Saccharomyces cerevisiae S288C: one gene and its partners. The gene in region 2 interacts genetically with the main gene of each other region. Each region holds a gene or a part of one and is shown on either strand. Other genes may lie near its edges. The genes, in order: SHO1, SSK1, STE11 and SAC1.

Region 1 (5,485 bases), on a different chromosome or scaffold from region 2:
AGAGACGTTGTAGAACAGGGTGCTGAAAAACTCGGTAGTTATTTAAGGGACTACTTAAGAAAATAAGTTTAATTTTCTCTTTAATTGAATTTTTTTTTTTTCATTGTTATCATTGTTTTTTATTCTCATTTTTCATTATATGATAATTATATTTATGGTACATAGAAACGGTTGTATATGCATTGTACGTGCGTTTATTCTTATTCTTCATCCCCCCTTATCTTAGTTTAAGGTTTCTAAAATCGAAAGTTTCATGTGCGTATGAAGCGGTTGAAAATGCAGACGAGGTAGCATTTGGTTCATTAGCATTATAAACACTTTGCTTTAAAGAAGGTAAGTTATTTTCGACATCTCTGTTTCTAATTGCTTCATCGTCCACATAGGGAGAGTCTATACCCACTTTCCAAAACGAGTTCATTACTTGATTACCATATTCGTTAGAAACACTTGCATTTAAACTATCACTTGCCGCAAGGGCGTAGTAGTGCGCATCCTGTTGCATTTCTTCGCTCTTTTCCTCTGCTGGCCTTGAATTCTTGTCGTGCCAGCGCGATAAGCCCATGTTACTATATTGTCAATATGTGAGTCCCTCGTTCACTATGAGACCTAGCAAAAAACAAACTGAAAGTAGGTGGCTGTTTATGTATTCATTTATTTATGGACCTTTTAGGCGCGACCCCCTCGCAAGATCTTCGTTAATGTGCATCCAAGACCCTCCCCTCATTTAGTAGACCCCGCATTGTTATGGTTAATAACGGATAGTTATTTGCCCAAGATAGCGCCTACTACACTAGGGAAACCGAACATGAATAAATTAAACAAGTAATATGTTACAACAGTGGTATAGTTATCGATTATTCTCCTATTTAAAAAATAAAACATATAAAAAAGTTAGGAAAGTATGATCTTTTAGTTCCTTGTTCTAGTATTGTAAAGGCTACAGAAGGAAACAATAAAAAAAGATTGTAGAAAAACAAAGTAAAATAAAGACTGAAAGGAAGGAAAGGGCAAAACACACACATATATAAATATATATTTAGAATACAGCTATATCCTCAATCTCCCTATTATCTGTAGAACCATCCTAAAACCAAGATAAGGAGTGCAACCAATATGAATATACCCATGCTGGATGATTCATTTTCTGCAGGTACGGTTGCGGCTTCCTTTATCTGGTTCTGTGGGGCCGGAGTGCTGTTGGACGTTTGCTTCTCATTTTCATGAGGAACGGTTTTCTGAACGACAGGTGGGACCTCTTCTTTCTTTACTTGGACGGGAGGTTGAGTTTCCGGTTCAGCAGGGACCTCCTTTTCGTTTACCACAGCAGGCACTTCCTTTGGCTCACTGTCTTGGACTACTGGTTCAACAGTTTCCTTGTTTTCCTGTATATTTTGGTTCTGTGCTGGGTGTACATCTGGACTTATCAAATATTTGACTTTTATCTTTTTAGAGATAGCCTGTTGCTTGAACTCAGCCTCCAAGTCGGACCAAACATCTGCAACAGCCTTGCCATTGAGGTCGTAAGGAGAAGGCAACGTGATAACCAGGAACTTGTCACGGCACTTAAAGTCTGCGGCAGGCTCTTCAGTCAAACCCAGGAAGATAACTTGAACCTGGATTGTTTCACCTGGAGCAACAACTGCGGCGTTTGGTCTCACGCAGTAAAACTTTGGGGCTGTGGTCTTGACCTTAAATGCAATGGTTTGGTCTGAATTGTTGGAAATACTAGCGTATTCTGTCGATTGCTCCGTTAATGGAGACTTATACACCAACACGTCAGGGGAAATTTCAACAGCAGACATACTTAGGTTCGCGGAGATTGTAGAATACCCTTCTGCTACACTATTAACACAGAATGTGCGTCAAACCACACCACACAATAAACAATGCACTTTGCTACTAAAACCATTCTATTCACCTTGCGAAAACAACAAGCGAAAAAAAAAAAGCGAGGGCGAAAGAGTAAGATCACCACGCACGTTTAGGGGATCGGAGAGCTTATCTATACAGCAACTAGAAGTATATAGAACAACAATGGTCGAACGACGGGTTAGTTTCACAGCTCAATAACCATAGAAAGGAATCGTGCATCATATGGTAGCTAGTATTAGATCAGGTGTGCTGACACTTTTACACACGGCGTGCGGTGCTGGTATCCTGGCCATGCCGTACGCATTCAAGCCGTTTGGATTAATTCCTGGAGTGATAATGATAGTGCTGTGTGGGGCGTGCGCTATGCAAAGCTTGTTCATACAAGCTCGTGTAGCTAAATACGTACCACAGGGGAGGGCCTCGTTCAGTGCTCTGACGCGGTTGATTAACCCAAATCTAGGTATTGTGTTTGACCTAGCGATCGCTATCAAGTGTTTTGGTGTGGGCGTCTCTTATATGATTGTAGTTGGGGATCTGATGCCCCAAATAATGTCTGTGTGGACCAGAAATGCTTGGCTGTTGAACAGGAACGTGCAAATTTCACTGATCATGCTTTTTTTCGTGGCCCCGCTGTCTTTTCTGAAGAAGTTGAATTCGTTGAGGTACGCTTCCATGGTGGCCATCTCTTCTGTAGCGTACTTGTGTGTTTTGGTGTTGTTGCACTATGTAGCACCATCAGATGAGATTCTTCGCTTGAAAGGCCGGATCTCCTACCTCCTGCCACCACAATCGCATGATTTGAACGTGCTAAACACTCTTCCAATTTTTGTCTTTGCCTACACATGTCACCACAATATGTTTTCAATAATCAATGAGCAGAGGTCAAGCCGGTTCGAGCATGTGATGAAGATTCCACTGATAGCAATATCTTTGGCTCTCATCTTATATATTGCGATCGGCTGTGCTGGATACCTGACATTCGGCGACAACATCATTGGAAACATTATCATGCTGTACCCGCAAGCGGTCTCGAGCACCATCGGCAGAATAGCGATTGTGTTGTTGGTGATGCTGGCGTTCCCACTACAGTGTCATCCTGCAAGAGCTTCAATCCATCAGATTTTGCAACACTTCGCCGAGGAAAATGTAAGTATAAGTGCTACATCGGCGGATGAACCCACTGTTGCTACCGAAAGTTCTCCGTTGATTCGCGACAGTAGCCTTGACCTCAATGAGGTAATTGAAGAAGAATCTATTTATCAGCCTAAGGAGACTCCATTGAGAGGCAAGAGCTTTATTGTTATAACGTGCAGCATTTTAGTTGCATCATATCTTGTCGCCATTTCGGTTTCCTCCTTGGCCCGTGTACTGGCCATTGTTGGGGCCACAGGCTCCACTTCTATTTCTTTCATTCTGCCCGGGCTCTTTGGCTACAAGCTTATAGGAACTGAGCACAAGACAGCCGTGCCATTGACGACAAAGATTTTCAAATACACAGGTCTTCTCTTGTTTATCTGGGGGCTAATAATCATGATCACCTGCCTGACCGCAGCTTTGAAGCTAAACTAAATAAGCAAGAGTATACTCATTCTTTTTTTGCTATTCCTCCATACGTACATAGACCCTTGAACCTACATATCCGCGTAAGAAACTATTAATAACCTAGCACCTGCGTTAAATCAGAAATTCTTAATCGCGTTTTACATTCCCAACGCGTTCAATCTATTTACACACAACAGCTTTCGGAGTCGGGCTTTTGCTTCATACGTATTATAAAAATTTCAGCGATTGCTGAAATATGCAAAGAACACAGGAACACGAATAAAGTCATTGAGCCTCGTTTTCAGTGAGGTATCATTGTCTATCATATCAGCTTTCTTTGCTCAACAGAATCGCTAAAAGAAAGGGCGTGTTATTAACAGTAGCCAACCCAATAATTTGAAAACAACATTGGACATTATAGATCAACGCCATCTTTTCAGAAACACCAAAAATCACGTTTTCAAAATATGTCAATATCATCAAAGATAAGACCAACTCCTCGTAAACCTTCACGTATGGCTACCGACCATTCTTTTAAAATGAAAAAATTTTATGCCGATCCTTTCGCTATATCATCAATTTCTTTGGCAATTGTATCGTGGGTCATCGCCATCGGGGGCTCCATCTCATCTGCATCCACCAATGAATCCTTCCCACGTTTTACTTGGTGGGGTATAGTATACCAATTTCTAATTATTTGTTCTTTAATGCTGTTCTATTGTTTTGATTTAGTCGATCATTACAGAATCTTCATCACCACATCTATTGCAGTGGCATTTGTGTATAATACAAACAGTGCAACGAATTTAGTGTATGCGGATGGTCCCAAGAAAGCTGCTGCTTCAGCAGGTGTCATCTTACTTTCCATCATAAATTTAATCTGGATTCTGTACTACGGCGGTGATAATGCTTCCCCAACCAATAGATGGATTGATTCGTTTTCCATTAAGGGTATCAGGCCTTCGCCATTAGAGAATTCTCTTCATAGAGCTCGTCGAAGAGGCAATAGGAACACAACGCCTTACCAAAATAATGTCTATAATGATGCTATACGAGACTCAGGCTACGCGACACAGTTTGATGGATATCCACAGCAGCAACCTTCTCACACAAATTATGTATCTTCTACGGCATTGGCTGGTTTTGAGAATACTCAGCCAAATACTTCAGAAGCCGTTAATCTTCACTTGAACACTCTACAACAACGTATCAATAGCGCAAGCAACGCGAAGGAAACCAATGATAATAGCAATAATCAAACCAATACTAATATAGGTAATACGTTCGATACTGATTTTTCAAATGGCAATACGGAAACTACGATGGGAGACACTTTGGGTCTGTATAGCGATATCGGTGATGATAATTTCATTTACAAGGCAAAAGCACTGTACCCATACGACGCTGATGACGATGATGCTTACGAAATCTCATTTGAACAAAATGAAATCCTACAAGTCTCTGACATTGAAGGCAGATGGTGGAAGGCAAGAAGGGCAAACGGTGAAACAGGTATTATTCCAAGCAATTATGTTCAACTAATCGATGGTCCAGAAGAAATGCATCGTTAATGATTAACAATCTTATAGCATGGATTCTCGAGTCAAAGGAAAAAAATAAAGAAACCTATCTTTATGACCCTCTACAGTAATGTTTTGAAGAATATAGTTCTGTAATTGTAGGAAAAATCATTCTTATGTATTATGTTTACTCTAGGATGTTCACAAAGAAAAAGGCAACCGCTTCACTGAAATATTCTCCAACAATGTATATATGCACTCTCATGTCATTGACTTGACTTGGATTGTTTATATTAATATTTTAAAAGGTTACATAATGATTTAAAAGAATTTTTCTTGGAAATTTTATTTAAACAACAACACCAGAGTTGGAAGCAACTCTTGGCCATAAGTCGGCACATTCCTTACCGACTGGACCAGTAATGGCAGAACCCTTCATTTCACCCTTAGGATTAGCGATGACACCAGCATTGTCCTCGAAGTACAAAAAGACACCGTCTCTTCTTCTCCAAGACTTAGCTTGACGGACAACAATAGCTGGCATAACCTTC
Region 2 (6,520 bases):
AACTCTTTAGCATCGTTACGCACAAACATGATCCCATGACCTGGATAACATGGGGATGAGCAAAAATGGCATTGATAAATTCTCATTTTTTTATACTTACTAAACTTCTACTTCCTTTTCCTTTTAGTTTCTGAATGTAAATCACGGGGAGGTGGTGGTAACAATATGGACAACTCACGCTTGAATAGCAATATCTTTCAAATCACAAGTCGAAGAACTTAAAAGTGGTATATCACGGATCAAGATAGAAACTGATGTAAGTTGGAGATAGGGTGGGATGAGATGAGATGAGTTTAGAAATACATTATTTAATAAAAGACGAGTGAAAATTTTTCACTCCGCTGAGTTCGAGGCGAGCGGGCAAAAAATTTAAAGAGCGAGAATCGGACCAAATGTGAAAGCCATTTGAATCAACGTAGGACTCACTCGACGGAGACCCTTGAACTAGACAAAGTACGAATAGTAGTGGAATTTGTACGTCTCCACTGGCCGAGCACAGTTTAATAAGGTTGCATAAACACTTCCACCCGCACAATATCATGAGTTCTCAAAGTAATACTGGTAATTCTATTGAGGCACCACAACTACCCATTCCTGGTCAAACTAATGGCTCTGCGAACGTTACTGTTGATGGAGCTGGTGTTAATGTCGGTATCCAGAATGGTTCGCAGGGTCAAAAGACCGGAATGGACCTTTATTTTGATCAAGCTTTGAACTACATGGGAGAACATCCTGTGATAACAGGTTTTGGGGCCTTTTTAACTTTATATTTTACAGCCGGTGCATATAAATCAATATCGAAGGGACTTAACGGTGGAAAATCCACTACTGCCTTCTTGAAAGGCGGATTTGACCCGAAAATGAATTCTAAAGAGGCTCTACAGATTTTGAATTTGACAGAAAATACATTGACTAAAAAAAAGTTGAAAGAGGTTCATAGGAAAATTATGTTAGCTAATCATCCTGACAAAGGTGGTTCTCCATTTTTGGCCACTAAGATAAACGAAGCTAAGGACTTTTTGGAAAAAAGGGGTATTAGCAAATAAGGTAAAACGGGAACCTAAAATGAGTTATTGCAATTGCATATATGCCTAATACAAGTGGTATAAACCTCGAACCGTGTTCAATCACATGCCGTTTAGGAGATTAAAATACTTCGGGCAATCAAATGTTTGTATAGATAAGTCTTGTAAATAACACGGAAAGCTATGTATTTTAGTTTAAATAACGTATACGCCCTCTGTGATTAGCGATGAACCGCAACGATCACAATTCTTGCTTACATGGGTAATATAATGCTTGAAACAATCAACATGCCAAATTTGAGACAGACTATTCTCTCCAGTTTCCTCATTCTCTTCTCGGCATGATTCGTTGCCGCACCTGACACCTTGAATTGCCAGCTTGTGGCAATTTTGGCAAGTGTTCAAATTGTACATGGATGTTAGATACTCTTCTAGTTCTGCTATACAGCGAAGATCAATACCGAATTTCCCTTCCTGAGTCCTGTAAAACCATTTCAGTTCGCATAATCGGAGTAGTAAGTCTTCGATGTCCGTTGCTGTTAATTCTTGAAATTGGAAAAGATTGGTGGACCCTACAGTAAACGTACTGAACTTACGCCATTTCGCGAGGTTTGAGTCTCCTGTAGCTGCTACTAGAATACGGTTGACTTCCTTCACAATTATCGAGGTTTCCAGTGCAGGCCCTTCAACGATAGTCTCTCCACTGATCATGAATTGTTCTATGGCCCATTTCATAAACTCGATCTCGTTTTGGTTAAACCTTGTGGCTAACTTAGTCTCTTCTGTTGATGCTAAGTTAACATATACGAAAAACCTGTTACTCTCCGGAAGTACTATCGATTGCAAAACTGCATAATCATTATTGTGAGCCCTTATTGCTGTATTATCTTCGAAGGACTCAAAATTCTGCTTGGCCTTTAAAGTCACTGCGTTTCTACCAATCCCGTGGTTGATCCGAATGATCTTGTAACCCAAAAGGTTCAGTTTTACGTTTATAGCGTTTATATAATCATTTAGCTTGTCGACCCACTGCTGGATCGACCATTCAGTGTTAAGCGTTGAAGCATCGGTTTCCAATCTCATTAGGGCTAGAATGAGAGCATTTTCATGGCAAATGCCTCTTGCTGACAAGATATATTGCAGCAGATATTTTGCTGTAGCATCCCCTGTTACAGGTGCAGAGACCTGCTCTTCATGTACCTCCATTCGCCACGACTACTATCAGACTTCAGTCAGCAATGAATATGTACCGAACCGCATACATATATAGTTATTATTCTCATCTCCATGCCTATAATTATCGCGTTTCTTTTTTTGGTATCCCTTAACCTAATTTCCATTTTCCAATAATTCAAATTCCCTATATTATTGATATCAGTGTCCTAACTATTTTTTTCAGCTTTCCGAAGCCCTAAAAGCGCCCCTGGATTGAATCTTTGACTTTTTTTCTAGTGAATTTAATAGTGGCTATATATTTATAAATAGGTCTGGTTGCCTTTTTGTTAGGAATGACTACATTGAAACTAGCCAAGCTGTGGTTAACTAGTTGGAGACATTGTTTTATTCAGAAAAATTACGTGTTTTGTTAGTTTTAGACCTCAGAATAGCGTTTATTTTGAGTACAAGTTCGGCCGTTTTGTATAAGAAATATTGGAAAGGCTGCTGTAAATCAAAAACGAATCGATTTTGGGGAGACAAGTAAAAATGCTCAATTCTGCGTTACTGTGGAAGGTTTGGCTACGAATAGACAACTCCACTGATGAAGTAAACCAACCAATTGCTGTACAGTTCGATGAAATAGATACTGTTGATGATTTGAAGAGCAGGTTTTTTCAGAAACTGAGTTCGACTCGATGGCGAGAAATTAACGATAATGCTTCCATTGCAATAGGCCTCTACGCACCTAAATTTGACAATCAAGCCGACAATACCAGTAGTAACAACACTAACGATAATAGTTGTCGAAGTAAGAGTAACGGTGCTGGAAGTGGCGCCAACCTTTCCGTTAATAGCAATACCAAGAGTTCAGTGAGCCCCACAGCAGGATCATTTGGTCTTTCAAAAGACCTTGCAAAGGACAGGAATGTTCTCCAGCATCCTAAACCTACGCAGAAAAGAGGAGCATTATACGACGCCTTTGCCGCCGTGCCGACAGTGGCCGCGACTACCAATGTGGATTTTCCTCCCAACGAGGCGCCAATGCTAAGCCCGCAAAGACCATACTCTACTAGTCCTAAACAGTTTCCAGCAACAACTAAAAGTCCGTTACTGCGATTTGCCTCAGTCTCACCCTACCCTAAATTTCATTCTGATAATCAAATTATGGCATCAGCTGGTCTTACATACGTCTCACCGCATAATAAAAATAAATACACAAGGCCGTTGATTAGAAAAGGTTTAAATTTTACCACAGAATCAGTTAATGATTGCACTTATAAAATCATCTTTGAACCGGATGAATTGGCTATTAACATATATAAGGAACTATTCGGAACCATGGGTTCCCAACCTGCATCGCAGCCTTTGCTGATATTTTCGAATGTTAATTTACGCCAGGATGTACCGCCTTTAGATATCTTAAATGTTGTAGACTATGTTCCTACGAATGAAGAAATTTCGCAGCAGAAAACTCAACCAACAGACCATGGGGCCGTTGGTGTTTTTCATCTAGACGACCATATTTCTCCGGGCGAACAAGGTCTTAAGCAAACAATTGGTGATAAAGCAGATCTTAAAGGTAAAGATGGCAATAGCAGCCCTCAGGAATTTAAATTAATAACTGATGAAGAGCAATTGAGAAGAGCGTCACAAGAACTGAAGGATGAGGAAAAGGATGCCGAGTCTCCTTGGCAAGCAATCTTGCTGTTACCAAAAGGTTATAAAGGAGGGGTAGATTTTCGAAATAAACCAGTGGCCCACACGGATTCATCTTTCAATAATGAAGACACAATTACTCATTCAGAGTTAGAAGTGAACACCGGATCCCCTTCGCAAGAAAGCGGATCACTTAATGAAGCTGGTATAGGCATAACGCAACCCATGTCGGAAGTACAAAGAAGAAAAGAAGACGTTACGCCCGCATCACCAATATTAACAAGTAGTCAAACGCCGCATTACTCAAACTCGCTTTATAACGCACCTTTTGCTGTTTCCTCTCCACCAGATCCTTTACCAAACCTTTTTACCACCACAAGTGAAAAAGTTTTCCCCAAAATTAATGTTTTAATAGTTGAAGACAACGTCATCAACCAAGCTATCTTAGGTTCCTTTCTGAGGAAACACAAAATCTCATATAAACTGGCTAAAAATGGTCAAGAAGCTGTTAATATTTGGAAGGAAGGCGGTCTTCATTTAATATTTATGGATTTACAGCTGCCTGTCTTGTCTGGTATAGAAGCTGCCAAGCAGATTAGGGACTTCGAAAAACAAAATGGCATTGGCATTCAAAAAAGTCTCAATAACTCACACTCCAATCTTGAAAAAGGTACTTCAAAGAGATTCTCTCAGGCGCCCGTGATTATTGTAGCATTGACCGCATCTAACTCTCAGATGGATAAAAGAAAAGCACTTCTTTCTGGTTGTAACGACTACCTGACTAAACCAGTGAATTTACACTGGCTTAGTAAGAAAATTACAGAGTGGGGATGTATGCAAGCCTTGATTGATTTTGACAGCTGGAAGCAGGGAGAAAGCCGGATGACCGACAGTGTTTTGGTTAAATCTCCACAGAAACCTATTGCACCTTCCAACCCTCACTCATTCAAACAAGCGACATCTATGACCCCTACACACAGCCCAGTAAGAAAAAATTCAAACCTCTCGCCCACTCAAATAGAATTGTGAGTTTGGTTGTACCGTGTAGAGGACATTATGATAGAATGTAACGATATTTATTCAAAATAATTATTAATATTATTGTAAAACAAAGAATTTTTTTTTTTTTTTTAGTTGAATAAGTGCCTGATAAATTGAAAATAGTAATAAATATTCTTAATGCCGTAAGTGCTATTAAGATTTTCTCGTAATAAACAATAGGACATTAAATGAGGTTATTTTTGTAATAATTATGTAGTTATATGTCCATCAAAAACTATTTCGTTCTCTACTACTTGGATTTGTTATATGATGGAAGAGTGATCGTGTTATACGCTGACAGATTTTCGTTAAGTTATTACGGGCTTGGATTCACAGCCTGGGCAGTTATGAAGGATTTCATGGATGAACACATCGCAGTCAACACAAAATTCTTGTTTACAATCTTCACAACGATAGCGAGAACTTGTCAGTAGTTTACCATTTTTATGGTTTTTCAGTATGGGAAATCTTGACTGGCAACTAAAGCAGTCTTCTGATCGAAATTTTTCTGTTGTAGGTACTTCTGCAAATGTTTTTAACGGCATCAGATGGTGATATGATCTGGCCAGGTGGGTAGAAAGGATTAGCATCAAGTCACAACATGGACAGACTGTGGGCAATGAACAAACTTTACTATGACAATTGGGACAGAAGTATCCGCCGTAAACTAACTTGGAATGGCACGAACAAAAAGTTGGAGTATCTTCGAATATCCTTGTCGGAAACCCCATCTTTACGAGTGTGAAACCCTTATTAATTTTGTTAACGGGTAAAGGGGTAACAGCCTCGTTAAATAGCTCCTTTAAGTGAGTTTCATCGAGTAAAATTTTATAGAAGGATTCATCACCATAATTCGTTGCCTTGCATAATTCTTTACATATGGCCACTTGAGCTGATAACCCCAAAACCTTCACTCTAATTTTCTCAGAAACTAACGAATCGATAGTTTGGTGAATATCTCCAGGATCAGTTGTGGAAAGACTACCAAATACAATCAGTACTTCCCTTGTACAATGCGCAGGAACAGGCAATAAAAGGCCTCTTGCCATTTCCAATGCATTTTGCAATGAAGGGTTTCCTTTCGGTTCTTGTTTCCTGATGGATTTCAACGCATCAATGTGATCCTGCGGGTTTCCGCTAACTTGGCTGACCAGTTGTGCCAAACCGTTTCTCATTATGATAATACCCATTTGAGATATCGGATTTTGGTCGAAAAATTCATGGACAAAATCTATGGCGTACTGGATAATCATGGCATGCCTGTTTGGTCTCAAATCCTTTTCCAACATAGCTTCACTACAATCTAGTGTTAATATTAAACTTCTGATAATACCTCTTTGGTATGGCGTTATGTTTTTCTTAGCAGTACGTTTCTTTCTGGCCTCGACTATGCTAGCCACAAGAGATGCCATATCCCCTTCATCGTCCACTTTCACCAAATCCCAACTTCTCTTGATCTCATCCTCCCAAGCGTACCCACCATTTGAACCTTGCAGGTTTCTATTCGAGAGCCTTTTCTTCTTCTTACGCTGCACATGTTTATCCCTATCCCTGTGGCTTGAACTGTGCTGCTGTTGCTGTTGGTCTACACGATCATCTCCCTCGCCATCAAAATGAACTTGTCTCTTAGTTCTTCTAGT
Region 3 (4,554 bases), 690 kb from region 2:
CATTGTTCGAAAAAATCTGATAAATATAATTACCAACGCCAAACGTATTATCGTGTGTATCATGGGGACTAAACTTGAAAAGGGAATATGGTAGTACTGAAGCTATTTCGGATAACTGCCAGCGCGTTAAGCTTCCCTCGTCGTCGTGATTTCCCCATACCATTGCCCACGGAATTTTTCTTGCAATGACGGGTGCTACCGCCTTTAATAATACGGTTTCAGAGTCTTGAATAGATCTATCACCCATGATTTGGTCACCAGTAAAAACAACCAACTGCGGTTTTTCAATGTCAAGAACTTGTTGAACGAAAGTTTCCGTTTTTGGATCTGCCTTGCAAGCTTCATGCTTTGGATACTCATCGATACATTCAGACTCCCCCACACCCAAGTGGAGATCCGCCAACTGAACAATTTTGAACTTTCCTTCATCAGTTTCTTGCAGCCGTTGAGCTCCTGTGTCTACAGGACGAGTACCAACGAATTTGTAAGTCAAATAAGCAGGTTCGCTGTAGCGGTATTTTACTAAGGGAAATTCTTTTTGAAGAGTCCAATTTGCTATCGGCTGGATGCAATCAACACCAAAGAGAATGTTAATATCGCTTATGTAGCTCCTTTTCTGCAATAGTTCTATGCTAATAGGCTCGAATGTGATGGATACATCCATAAAGGGTAGCGATTTGTCTTTAGGATATTTGGAAATTCCAGTTACTGCCTCAACATTTAGCTTTTCTAGGTTGGATCCAAAGTAGTCCACCAAAGCAGGGTATAACACATCATAGTAAAGGTATTCTGACTTTCCAAACCACCTGCGTCCAAAGGAACCTCTCAAGTCTTTATGAATTCTTTTCCTTTGTAAGTATTGGTGCCCATCAGTTAAAGTTGATTTAAGTTCATGCCGATTAAAACATCCTTCATAAAAACGACCAATATGAAAACATTCGTCATAGCCTATATTTACAACTAGCTTATCGTCATTTGAGAATCCCTCTAGACCTTTATTTTGGAACCATAGATTATCAACGTGTGATATCGGGAGTGCAAGGTCGAAACCAATGTGCTCTTCAACTCTTGGCGCCTGTAGGAAGTAAAATAGGGCAATCACTACAAAAACTACCAAGTATAATAGGTACCTTTGATACAGCCTCGGTAACCGGATCATGTTAAGATTTTTAACCACGGTGCTGGTCTTCGATACTTAAGTATAAAACTTGTATCAGAGGTATCTGCGATCTAAAAAGATTAATTTTTGAAAAAGATCAACACTAAACCATTTGAAATTCAAAAAGCACCTAAGGCAAAATATAAATCTAAATATACGTAAAATGGAAACACTTTCTGCGCAGCTTTATACAAGTTAGCCTTCTAGCTTATGAAATAGAAATGAAATATAACTGAGCAAGTCCTATATACAATACTATTAATGATCTTCTTGTCCATGAGACTGTTCATGGTGCCTTTTAGAGACTTCTTCATCACTTATCTGAGGCCTGTGGCCACCCGTTCTCAATAAACCACCGGCAGTATCTTCAACTGGAAATCTTGCACTGGGTCTTACGCAATGGGGCTTGCGTAACTGTTCAAAATCCATGATTTTAGTTTTCCCTCCCCCTTTTAAAGTAATCTTTGGATTCTCGCCCAACTTTTCCTCCACTTCTTTTATATTTTGGGTGCGTTCTTTACTATTATTATTATTATTATTATTACTAACTGCCATTATAGTTTCTTTATGCTGTCCTCACCATGCCTTTCGTTATCAGGCTAGCATTAAAAGCCTTTTAAGGTGTAAAGCTTTCGCCGCGATGGCTTTAAACAGTAGAAAATATTCATATTTACACACATGCATAAAGAGAGACCACTTAATAAAGCTAGTATGATAAGATCACCGGTAGACGAAATATACATGGAACAGACACAAACAGCAGAGGGCACTGACTTACTAATTGGTGACGAAAAGACCAACGATTTACCTTTTGTGCAGTTATTTCTGGAGGAAATAGGATGCACTCAATACCTGGATAGCTTTATTCAGTGCAACCTTGTCACAGAAGAAGAAATTAAGTATCTCGACAAGGATATCCTCATTGCTTTGGGTGTAAACAAAATAGGAGACAGACTCAAAATTTTAAGGAAGTCAAAATCGTTCCAGAGAGATAAACGGATTGAACAGGTGAATAGATTGAAAAACCTGATGGAAAAAGTAAGCTCTCTATCCACTGCTACGCTATCGATGAATTCAGAATTGATTCCTGAAAAGCACTGTGTTATATTTATCTTAAACGATGGTTCCGCTAAGAAAGTTAATGTAAATGGTTGCTTTAATGCAGATTCTATTAAGAAAAGGCTAATCAGAAGATTGCCACATGAATTATTAGCCACAAACTCCAATGGAGAAGTAACTAAAATGGTCCAAGATTATGATGTGTTTGTCTTAGATTATACCAAGAACGTACTGCATTTGCTATATGACGTGGAATTAGTCACTATTTGCCACGCAAATGATCGTGTTGAGAAAAATAGGCTAATTTTTGTTTCCAAAGACCAAACACCAAGTGATAAAGCTATATCCACATCCAAAAAACTATATCTAAGAACGTTGAGTGCATTGAGCCAGGTTGGGCCATCCTCGTCAAATTTGTTGGCACAGAACAAGGGGATTTCGCATAACAATGCTGAAGGGAAACTCCGGATCGACAACACAGAAAAGGACAGAATTAGACAGATTTTTAATCAGAGGCCTCCTAGCGAATTTATTTCTACCAATTTGGCCGGATATTTTCCTCATACAGACATGAAGCGGTTGCAAAAGACGATGAGAGAGTCATTTCGCCATTCAGCAAGGCTAAGCATTGCTCAAAGAAGACCTTTAAGTGCAGAATCAAATAATATCGGTGACATACTATTGAAACACTCAAACGCTGTTGATATGGCCCTATTACAAGGATTAGATCAGACAAGATTAAGCAGTAAACTTGACACAACTAAAATTCCGAAGCTTGCCCATAAAAGGCCAGAAGATAATGATGCCATATCTAACCAGTTAGAACTATTAAGTGTAGAGTCTGGTGAAGAAGAAGATCACGATTTCTTTGGGGAGGACAGTGACATTGTTTCATTACCGACGAAAATTGCCACGCCCAAGAATTGGTTAAAAGGTGCTTGCATTGGATCAGGCAGTTTTGGGAGTGTTTACTTGGGCATGAATGCTCACACTGGTGAACTAATGGCAGTAAAGCAAGTGGAGATAAAAAATAATAACATTGGTGTTCCCACAGACAACAATAAACAAGCCAATTCTGATGAGAATAATGAGCAGGAGGAACAACAAGAGAAAATAGAAGATGTTGGGGCGGTAAGTCATCCAAAAACCAATCAAAATATTCACAGAAAGATGGTTGATGCTTTACAGCATGAAATGAATTTATTGAAGGAGTTACATCATGAGAACATTGTTACTTATTATGGTGCTTCTCAAGAAGGCGGAAATTTAAATATTTTTCTTGAATACGTTCCTGGGGGTTCGGTTTCCTCCATGCTGAATAATTACGGTCCATTTGAGGAATCACTGATTACTAATTTCACTAGGCAAATACTGATTGGGGTTGCGTATTTGCATAAGAAGAACATTATTCACAGAGATATCAAGGGTGCAAATATTTTGATTGATATCAAAGGTTGCGTAAAAATTACTGATTTTGGTATTTCAAAAAAATTATCACCTTTGAATAAAAAACAAAATAAGAGAGCTTCTTTGCAAGGTTCCGTATTCTGGATGTCACCAGAGGTGGTCAAACAGACCGCTACTACTGCTAAAGCGGATATATGGTCTACAGGATGTGTTGTCATTGAAATGTTTACCGGTAAGCATCCTTTCCCAGATTTTTCTCAAATGCAAGCGATCTTCAAAATAGGCACAAACACGACCCCCGAGATACCTTCCTGGGCTACGTCAGAAGGAAAGAATTTCTTAAGAAAGGCATTTGAGTTGGATTATCAATACAGGCCTAGTGCCCTTGAATTGCTGCAGCATCCATGGCTGGATGCACACATAATTTGAAAAAGGGCTACTTATTAATTCTTTTTATGGCACTAAAGTGCTCTGGCCGATTTTTTATCAAATAATACATATATATCATATTTAGTGACATTTATTGAATATATCTGCTATTTACCGGTTTTTTTTTTTCAATTACGCTGATTAAGTAATCATAAATCACAATTGTGAAAAAAAGACCAAACTAGATGACGGTATTTGATTCTCATACCCCTGGAATAAAATCAAGTAAGATAATTCTGATAAAAAAATCCGACCGCACAGATGGAAGCACGAAGAAACAGGCCTTTCTTTGCGAGGTGATATCAAACCATTGATATCTTCTCAATAACCTGCTCTAGGAAAAGGAGGTAGATAGACAAAAGCAAGGAAATAATCCATAGAGTTTCATTCACATGAATAATCTGTTACCAATTTTTCTCATAAGATAAAGCCATCTATCAAAAATGATATTGAAATATTTGAAAAATGCTTGTTTTTATGGGGACCACAATTCGCCTGTA
Region 4 (6,093 bases), on a different chromosome or scaffold from region 2:
ATAATTTCTTGCCGAGTTAGACAGAAAATGACCGTGATAGTTTGTCATAATTTTCAATAGGGCAGAAAGAATTTTAAAGATTATTTGCTATCTAGACATTATGTGTTTTATATGATTGCTGTAAAAGTATTAGGAGAGATCGTCGAAAATATCCTTAAACCTTGGCACGTTCCCATAGCTCCTTTTGATGTTTGCAAGCCAAGTTACGGAGTTGGCAAATTGTCTTAATGTAGGTTCAACAGTAGCCAAATTTCCGTAAGCTACGGTTAGCCTATATGCGGCTTCTTCGCATTCTTGATACTCTTCCAATGGCCCATACTTGGTGTTGATGGCGTCAGCTACGATAGGCAAAAGTTCTAAATCAGAGTTCCCTTTCGTGACGAGAGCTGAATAGTTGAAAATTAGTGTGGAAACTGCAATAGCCAAATTCTGTGACTGTTTAGCAGATGCCTGAGAAAATTCAGTATCTATAGTCTCAAAAATTGATTTATAAACTTGATTTGATTCCAGTAATTTCACACCCCAGTTTTCATTATTGAAGCAATTTACCAAAATACGCACAGTTAACATGGTTAGAGTGATATTCTTATTGCCCAAGCCTTCTTCGATGTAATCTTTTATATCTGAAGAATAAGGTAATTTTTTTACAATCAATCGTACTATGTCGTATGCAGGAGTCTTAATTTCCCAGTTAGATCTTATAGTGTTAGCAAATGAAAGTAGCAACTCCCAGCTTTCATCTATGTCATGTAGTGCGCCACCAATTTGCGCCAGAATTTCATCATCAAAGGTCTTCTCATTTGAATTTATTTTTACTATTCCATTGAAAATAGTATCTGGGTTATAATTTTCCATGATAAGATACTGCTTGACAGGAAGAACCTTCATTACGCTCGTTTTTGAAGGTGATACTGCAGAAGATGATGCATTATCGTTGGGCTGGTCTAGCGATATGCCATTAGTGTTCTTCAGTATGAACTGTACTACTTGATCCCTATAACTCATTGGCAGTTCATAACGAGCCAAAAAATTGTCGGCTGCTGTATATGGGTTGTCGCTGACATTAATCGGCAATTTCAAGGGAGGTTTTCCATCTTCAATATCCACATCAAATACGTAGTCATACGTTTTACCCTCGAATTCTATTTTTTTGTCGTTTCCAGTAGCACCTGCACCGACAACATCACCAACCTTTTTCCATGAAGAATTTGAAAATTGATGAGCTTCTATAGTACCTTGAGGTGATTTGACTACCACAATTTGACCCTCTTTGCGCCCCGGCGATTGTAAAATTTCATAAGGTGATAGTTTAGACTCATCAAATTCTATTGTCTTGGAACTTATAGTGGATTTTTCCACTTGCGTAGATAGTTCATTTATTTCATCCTCGGAAGCCCATCTTGACTTCTCTTGCGAAAATATTCTCACAAGATTATCACTACTTCCCACAATAATATCACCATTAGACATACAATCAACGGACCAAATAGAGATGGCAGGAAGTGTAATTACCTGCTTTAACGAACCATTTTCCTTTGACCATATACGGACTGTTCGGTCTTCGCCGCAGCTTACAATATCTCCATTGGGCAGCAGTTTAATGCAATAAACAAAGCTTTCATGGCCTTCATATGTTCTTAGTACGTCACCTGTATGCATATCAACCAACTTGATGAGGCCATCGTTTGAACAACTGATAAAATGGCCATCATCCACCACAGCTAAATGTCTTACTACATCATTGTGAATCCCACTGAAAGTTTTGATCACTTTATCGTTTTGCCACAGTTTAATCGTCTTATCGGCGGAAGCTGTCAAGAATTTATTTTCTGAGAAGGATACGACTTTGGCATCCCATACAGAGGCATTGTGTGCTTGCAAATTGTAAACCAACGATCCTTCTTTCCAAACCTTTGCGGTTTTGTCCCAACTACCGCTTATCACAACACCATCTTGGAAGGATAAACTACAAACGTTCCCTTGGTGGCCAATCAAGGTATACAAGGGATCCTCTCCTGAGGTGGCAAACAAGGGCACACCGTTGATCATAGTATCCTTACCTCCAAAAAGCAACAACTCCTTCTCGGAATCATAACACACACTATTTAAAAATCCTTGTCCTGTATAAACTACCGTACCGAGCCATTGGTCATCTTTAGACCACAAGCGAACTGTTCCATCCCTCGAAACACTAGCAACCTTTGAATCATCCACAGCTACCACATCCCTGACGTCCTGATCGTGCCCTTTAAGTGTTGCACTCAATTGATATCCCATACTCCAAATCTGCTGCTCTACACCTTACTATCACACATGAATATATATATATAAAATAAGCCAAGACAGTGGCCTTCCCTTATTATCAGCGTACTAAAATCTCATATGATTTATTTTTCGTGGTCCTGAACGAGTGTGAAAAATTTTGAAAAACTCGCAAAGGAAATGCCAAGGTCAGCAACTTTCTCGACGTCCAAGCCTCGCTCCTATTGTTTTAGTAACCTGTAGACCTTCAATATTCAAGAGCTTGCACACGCACGCATTGCTGCACTACTGCTTACCCACACTACAAATTTAATTCCAGCTTATTGAAGTTGAAAAGGCAAGGGAAAAATACCACAGGTTTAGATAAGGAAATAGGAGAAAGGATTAGAAACCATATCCCTATAACAGTAACGATAATATTTATATACACGTATATTTTCTCGTCTAGATATGACAGGTCCAATAGTGTACGTTCAAAATGCGGACGGTATCTTCTTCAAGCTTGCTGAGGGCAAAGGAACTAACGATGCTGTTATTCACTTGGCCAATCAAGATCAAGGTGTTCGGGTCCTTGGAGCAGAGGAATTTCCTGTGCAAGGTGAAGTAGTAAAGATTGCGTCCTTGATGGGGTTCATTAAGCTAAAGTTGAACAGGTATGCCATTATCGCAAATACTGTGGAAGAGACCGGTAGATTCAATGGCCACGTTTTCTATAGAGTGTTGCAACATTCTATCGTATCTACCAAGTTTAACTCGAGAATCGATTCTGAAGAAGCCGAATATATCAAGCTACTGGAGTTGCATTTGAAAAATTCCACCTTTTATTTTTCATACACATATGATTTAACAAATTCCTTACAAAGAAATGAAAAGGTTGGTCCTGCAGCCTCCTGGAAAACCGCTGATGAACGATTCTTTTGGAACCATTACTTAACTGAAGATTTGAGAAACTTTGCTCATCAAGATCCTAGAATTGACTCCTTTATACAACCTGTTATCTATGGGTATGCCAAGACAGTGGACGCCGTTTTGAATGCCACCCCTATCGTTCTTGGTTTGATTACCAGACGTAGTATATTTAGGGCGGGCACAAGATACTTCCGTCGTGGTGTTGACAAAGACGGTAACGTTGGCAATTTCAATGAAACTGAGCAAATTTTACTCGCTGAGAATCCAGAGAGTGAAAAAATACACGTTTTCTCCTTCTTACAGACAAGAGGATCTGTGCCAATATACTGGGCTGAAATCAACAACTTGAAGTACAAGCCAAATCTTGTTCTTGGAGAAAACTCATTAGATGCGACAAAAAAGCATTTTGACCAGCAAAAGGAGTTATATGGCGACAACTACTTGGTTAACCTAGTCAACCAAAAGGGCCACGAACTACCCGTGAAAGAGGGCTATGAATCAGTCGTGCACGCGCTAAACGATCCGAAGATTCACTACGTGTATTTTGACTTCCACCATGAATGTCGTAAGATGCAATGGCATAGAGTGAAATTGTTAATTGATCACCTGGAGAAATTAGGTTTATCTAACGAAGATTTCTTCCACAAGGTCATAGACTCTAATGGTAACACCGTTGAAATTGTTAATGAGCAACATTCCGTTGTAAGAACAAACTGTATGGATTGTTTGGACAGAACAAATGTCGTTCAATCTGTTTTAGCCCAGTGGGTTTTGCAAAAGGAGTTTGAAAGTGCCGATGTCGTTGCTACTGGAAGCACTTGGGAAGACAACGCTCCATTGTTAACTTCTTACCAAAACTTATGGGCTGATAATGCAGATGCAGTTAGTGTGGCATATTCGGGCACTGGAGCTTTGAAGACCGATTTCACAAGAACCGGTAAGCGTACACGTCTAGGTGCATTCAACGATTTTTTGAATTCAGCATCACGTTATTACCAGAACAATTGGACTGATGGTCCAAGACAGGATTCATACGATTTATTCCTTGGTGGATTTAGACCACATACCGCTTCTATCAAGTCGCCATTCCCCGACAGAAGACCAGTGTATATTCAGCTGATCCCAATGATCATTTGCGCAGCCTTGACCGTTTTAGGTGCTACGATATTTTTTCCTAAAGATAGATTTACCAGCAGTAAGAATTTGCTGTATTTTGCAGGTGCGTCGATTGTCTTGGCGCTTTCAACCAAATTCATGTTTAAGAACGGTATTCAGTTTGTCAACTGGCCTAAGTTAGTAGACGTTGGGTTCTTGGTCGTTCATCAAACGCATGATAAAGAACAACAATTCAAAGGTTTGAAATATGCACAGAGTCCTAAATTTTCCAAGCCGGATCCTTTAAAAAGAGATTAATGAGTTCTATATGTGATAAAATGATGATTATTGTAAATCCAAAACGTAAAACCGAAAATATGATAAAAACGAGAAAAAAAGTAAGTTAAAAAATAAAAAAATAAAAAAATGAACGCCGGCCCCAGAGGGAAGAACAAGCTATTTATTTTCTTTTTTACTTTATCTTTCATGGTCATATATATATATATATATATATATATATATCTTCTATAGGCTACTATACATGAAGGCGTTCGCCCTTACAACGTTAAGTTTTTTTCCCTATTGTACCGTGTAAGTTTCAATTATTCGCATAATTCATGAATGAACTTCTTCACATCGGTTGATTTCATTAGGGCTTCACCCACTAAAAATCCATGGACACCTTCTTTTTTGTATTTTTCAGCATCGTCCCTGGTGGTAATTCCCGATAGAGCAATTAGAAGAACATCCTTTGGAATAGATTCTACCAAGTTACTGGTGGTATTTAGGTCTACGTTGAATGAATGCAGGTCCCTATTATTGACACCTACAACTTTAGCACCAATTTCTAGAGCCCTTTGTAATTCCTCTTTGGAGTTCACCTCAACGAGAGGTTCCATGTTCAAATCTTTACTGTAGCTGTACAGTTCCTTCAATAAGGGTTGAGATAGCATCTTGACTATAAGAAGGACAGTGTCAGCTCCAGCTAATCTTGCTTCTAGTATTTGATACTTGCTGAAAATAAATTCTTTTCTCAAAACACAAGGCCTCTCCTTGGGAGGAAATTTCAAATCTAGGATTTTCCTCACATTTACTAAATCCTGTAACGAACCGTGAAACCAATGAGGTTCGGTCAATACGGAAATTGCGGATGCACCAGCCTCTGCGTATTTGAGAGCCTGTTCAGCAGCAACAGCTTTTAAACAAATGGGTCCCTTCGATGGAGAGGCACGCTTGACTTCAGCAAGAACAACGGCTCTTTTATGGGATGATGACAACACCGTGTAGAAATCCTGTAACGGTGGGGCAAGACCTAAATCATAGTTAGATTGTAAGTCTTGAAAGGTGAAACCTGGGATTTTAGACTGCTCATTGACGTCTATTTTACGCCGAGCATAGATACGGTCCAAAATAGAATTTGAAGGAGATGATTTGTTTTCCTCCCAAGTGCCTCCACTGACGTTTAAAATGTTCCTGATCATCAGATGACCTTCCTCGGTCAAGATGGATTCCGGATGAAATTGCACACCTTCTACAGTGTACTTCTTGTGTCTTACACCCATGATAATTCCATTTTCGGTACTCGCAGTAACCTTCAAGCAGGATGGTAGGGACGATTCTGTCCCGGCCAATGAATGGTATCTTGTCACAGCAATACCTTGCGGCACGTTCTTGAAAATTCCACAGTTGTCGTGAGAGATTGGGGACGTTTTACCGTGGACAATCTCACCAGCGTAGGCAACTTCACCACCAAATACGTCAAACATGCATTGCTGGCCCATACAGATTCCAAATACAGGAATTTTCCCAGTAAAGTACCGGATACAG

What was found.
Region 1: mutations in SSK1 (region 2) and SHO1 impair growth when combined (synthetic growth defect), as found in Saccharomyces cerevisiae (7 studies listed by BioGRID, with this or other methods).
Region 3: mutations in SSK1 (region 2) and STE11 impair growth when combined (synthetic growth defect), as found in Saccharomyces cerevisiae (7 studies listed by BioGRID, with this or other methods).
Region 4: mutations in SSK1 (region 2) and SAC1 together harm fitness more than expected from each alone (negative genetic interaction), as found in Saccharomyces cerevisiae (3 studies listed by BioGRID, with this or other methods).

Annotation. Positions count from the first base shown.
Region 1 is NC_001137.3:397,452-402,936, reverse strand, and holds SHO1 (osmosensor SHO1), read left to right. Parts: upstream 1-3,881; coding exon 3,882-4,985; downstream 4,986-5,485. Other genes in the region: GLO3 (ADP-ribosylation factor GTPase-activating protein), read left to right, coding at 1-66; YER121W (uncharacterized protein), read right to left, coding at 218-562; phosphatidylinositol-binding protein SCS2, read right to left, coding at 1,068-1,802; AVT6 (aspartate/glutamate transporter), read left to right, coding at 2,095-3,441; 60S ribosomal protein uL14 RPL23B, read right to left, coding at 5,284-5,485. UniProt on the Saccharomyces cerevisiae protein: Plasma membrane osmosensor that activates the high osmolarity glycerol (HOG) MAPK signaling pathway in response to high osmolarity.
Region 2 is NC_001144.5:160,103-166,622, reverse strand, and holds SSK1 (mitogen-activated protein kinase kinase kinase SSK1), read left to right. Parts: upstream 1-2,729; coding exon 2,730-4,868; downstream 4,869-6,520. Other genes in the region: RLP24 (ATPase-activating ribosome biosynthesis protein), read right to left, coding at 1-86; PAM18 (Pam18p), read left to right, coding at 540-1,046; Smc5-Smc6 complex subunit NSE1, read right to left, coding at 1,221-2,231; TFIIH/NER complex subunit SSL1, read right to left, coding at 5,189-6,520. UniProt on the Saccharomyces cerevisiae protein: Final receptor of the SLN1-YPD1-SSK1 two-component regulatory system, which controls activity of the HOG1 pathway in response to changes in the osmolarity of the extracellular environment.
Region 3 is NC_001144.5:847,966-852,519, forward strand, and holds STE11 (mitogen-activated protein kinase kinase kinase STE11), read left to right. Parts: upstream 1-1,900; coding exon 1,901-4,054; downstream 4,055-4,554. Other genes in the region: DCR2 (phosphoprotein phosphatase), read right to left, coding at 1-1,159; YLR361C-A (uncharacterized protein), read right to left, coding at 1,418-1,714; NMD4 (Nmd4p), read right to left, coding at 4,530-4,554. UniProt on the Saccharomyces cerevisiae protein: Serine/threonine protein kinase required for cell-type-specific transcription and signal transduction in yeast. It is thought that it phosphorylates the STE7 protein kinase which itself, phosphorylates the FUS3 and or KSS1 kinases.
Region 4 is NC_001143.9:31,831-37,923, forward strand, and holds SAC1 (phosphatidylinositol-3-phosphatase SAC1), read left to right. Parts: upstream 1-2,712; coding exon 2,713-4,584; downstream 4,585-6,093. Other genes in the region: DOA1 (Doa1p), read right to left, coding at 130-2,277; TRP3 (bifunctional anthranilate synthase/indole-3-glycerol-phosphate synthase), read right to left, coding at 4,869-6,093. UniProt on the Saccharomyces cerevisiae protein: Phosphoinositide phosphatase which catalyzes the hydrolysis of phosphatidylinositol 3-phosphate (PtdIns(3)P) and phosphatidylinositol 4-phosphate (PtdIns(4)P). Has low activity towards phosphatidylinositol-3,5-bisphosphate (PtdIns(3,5)P2).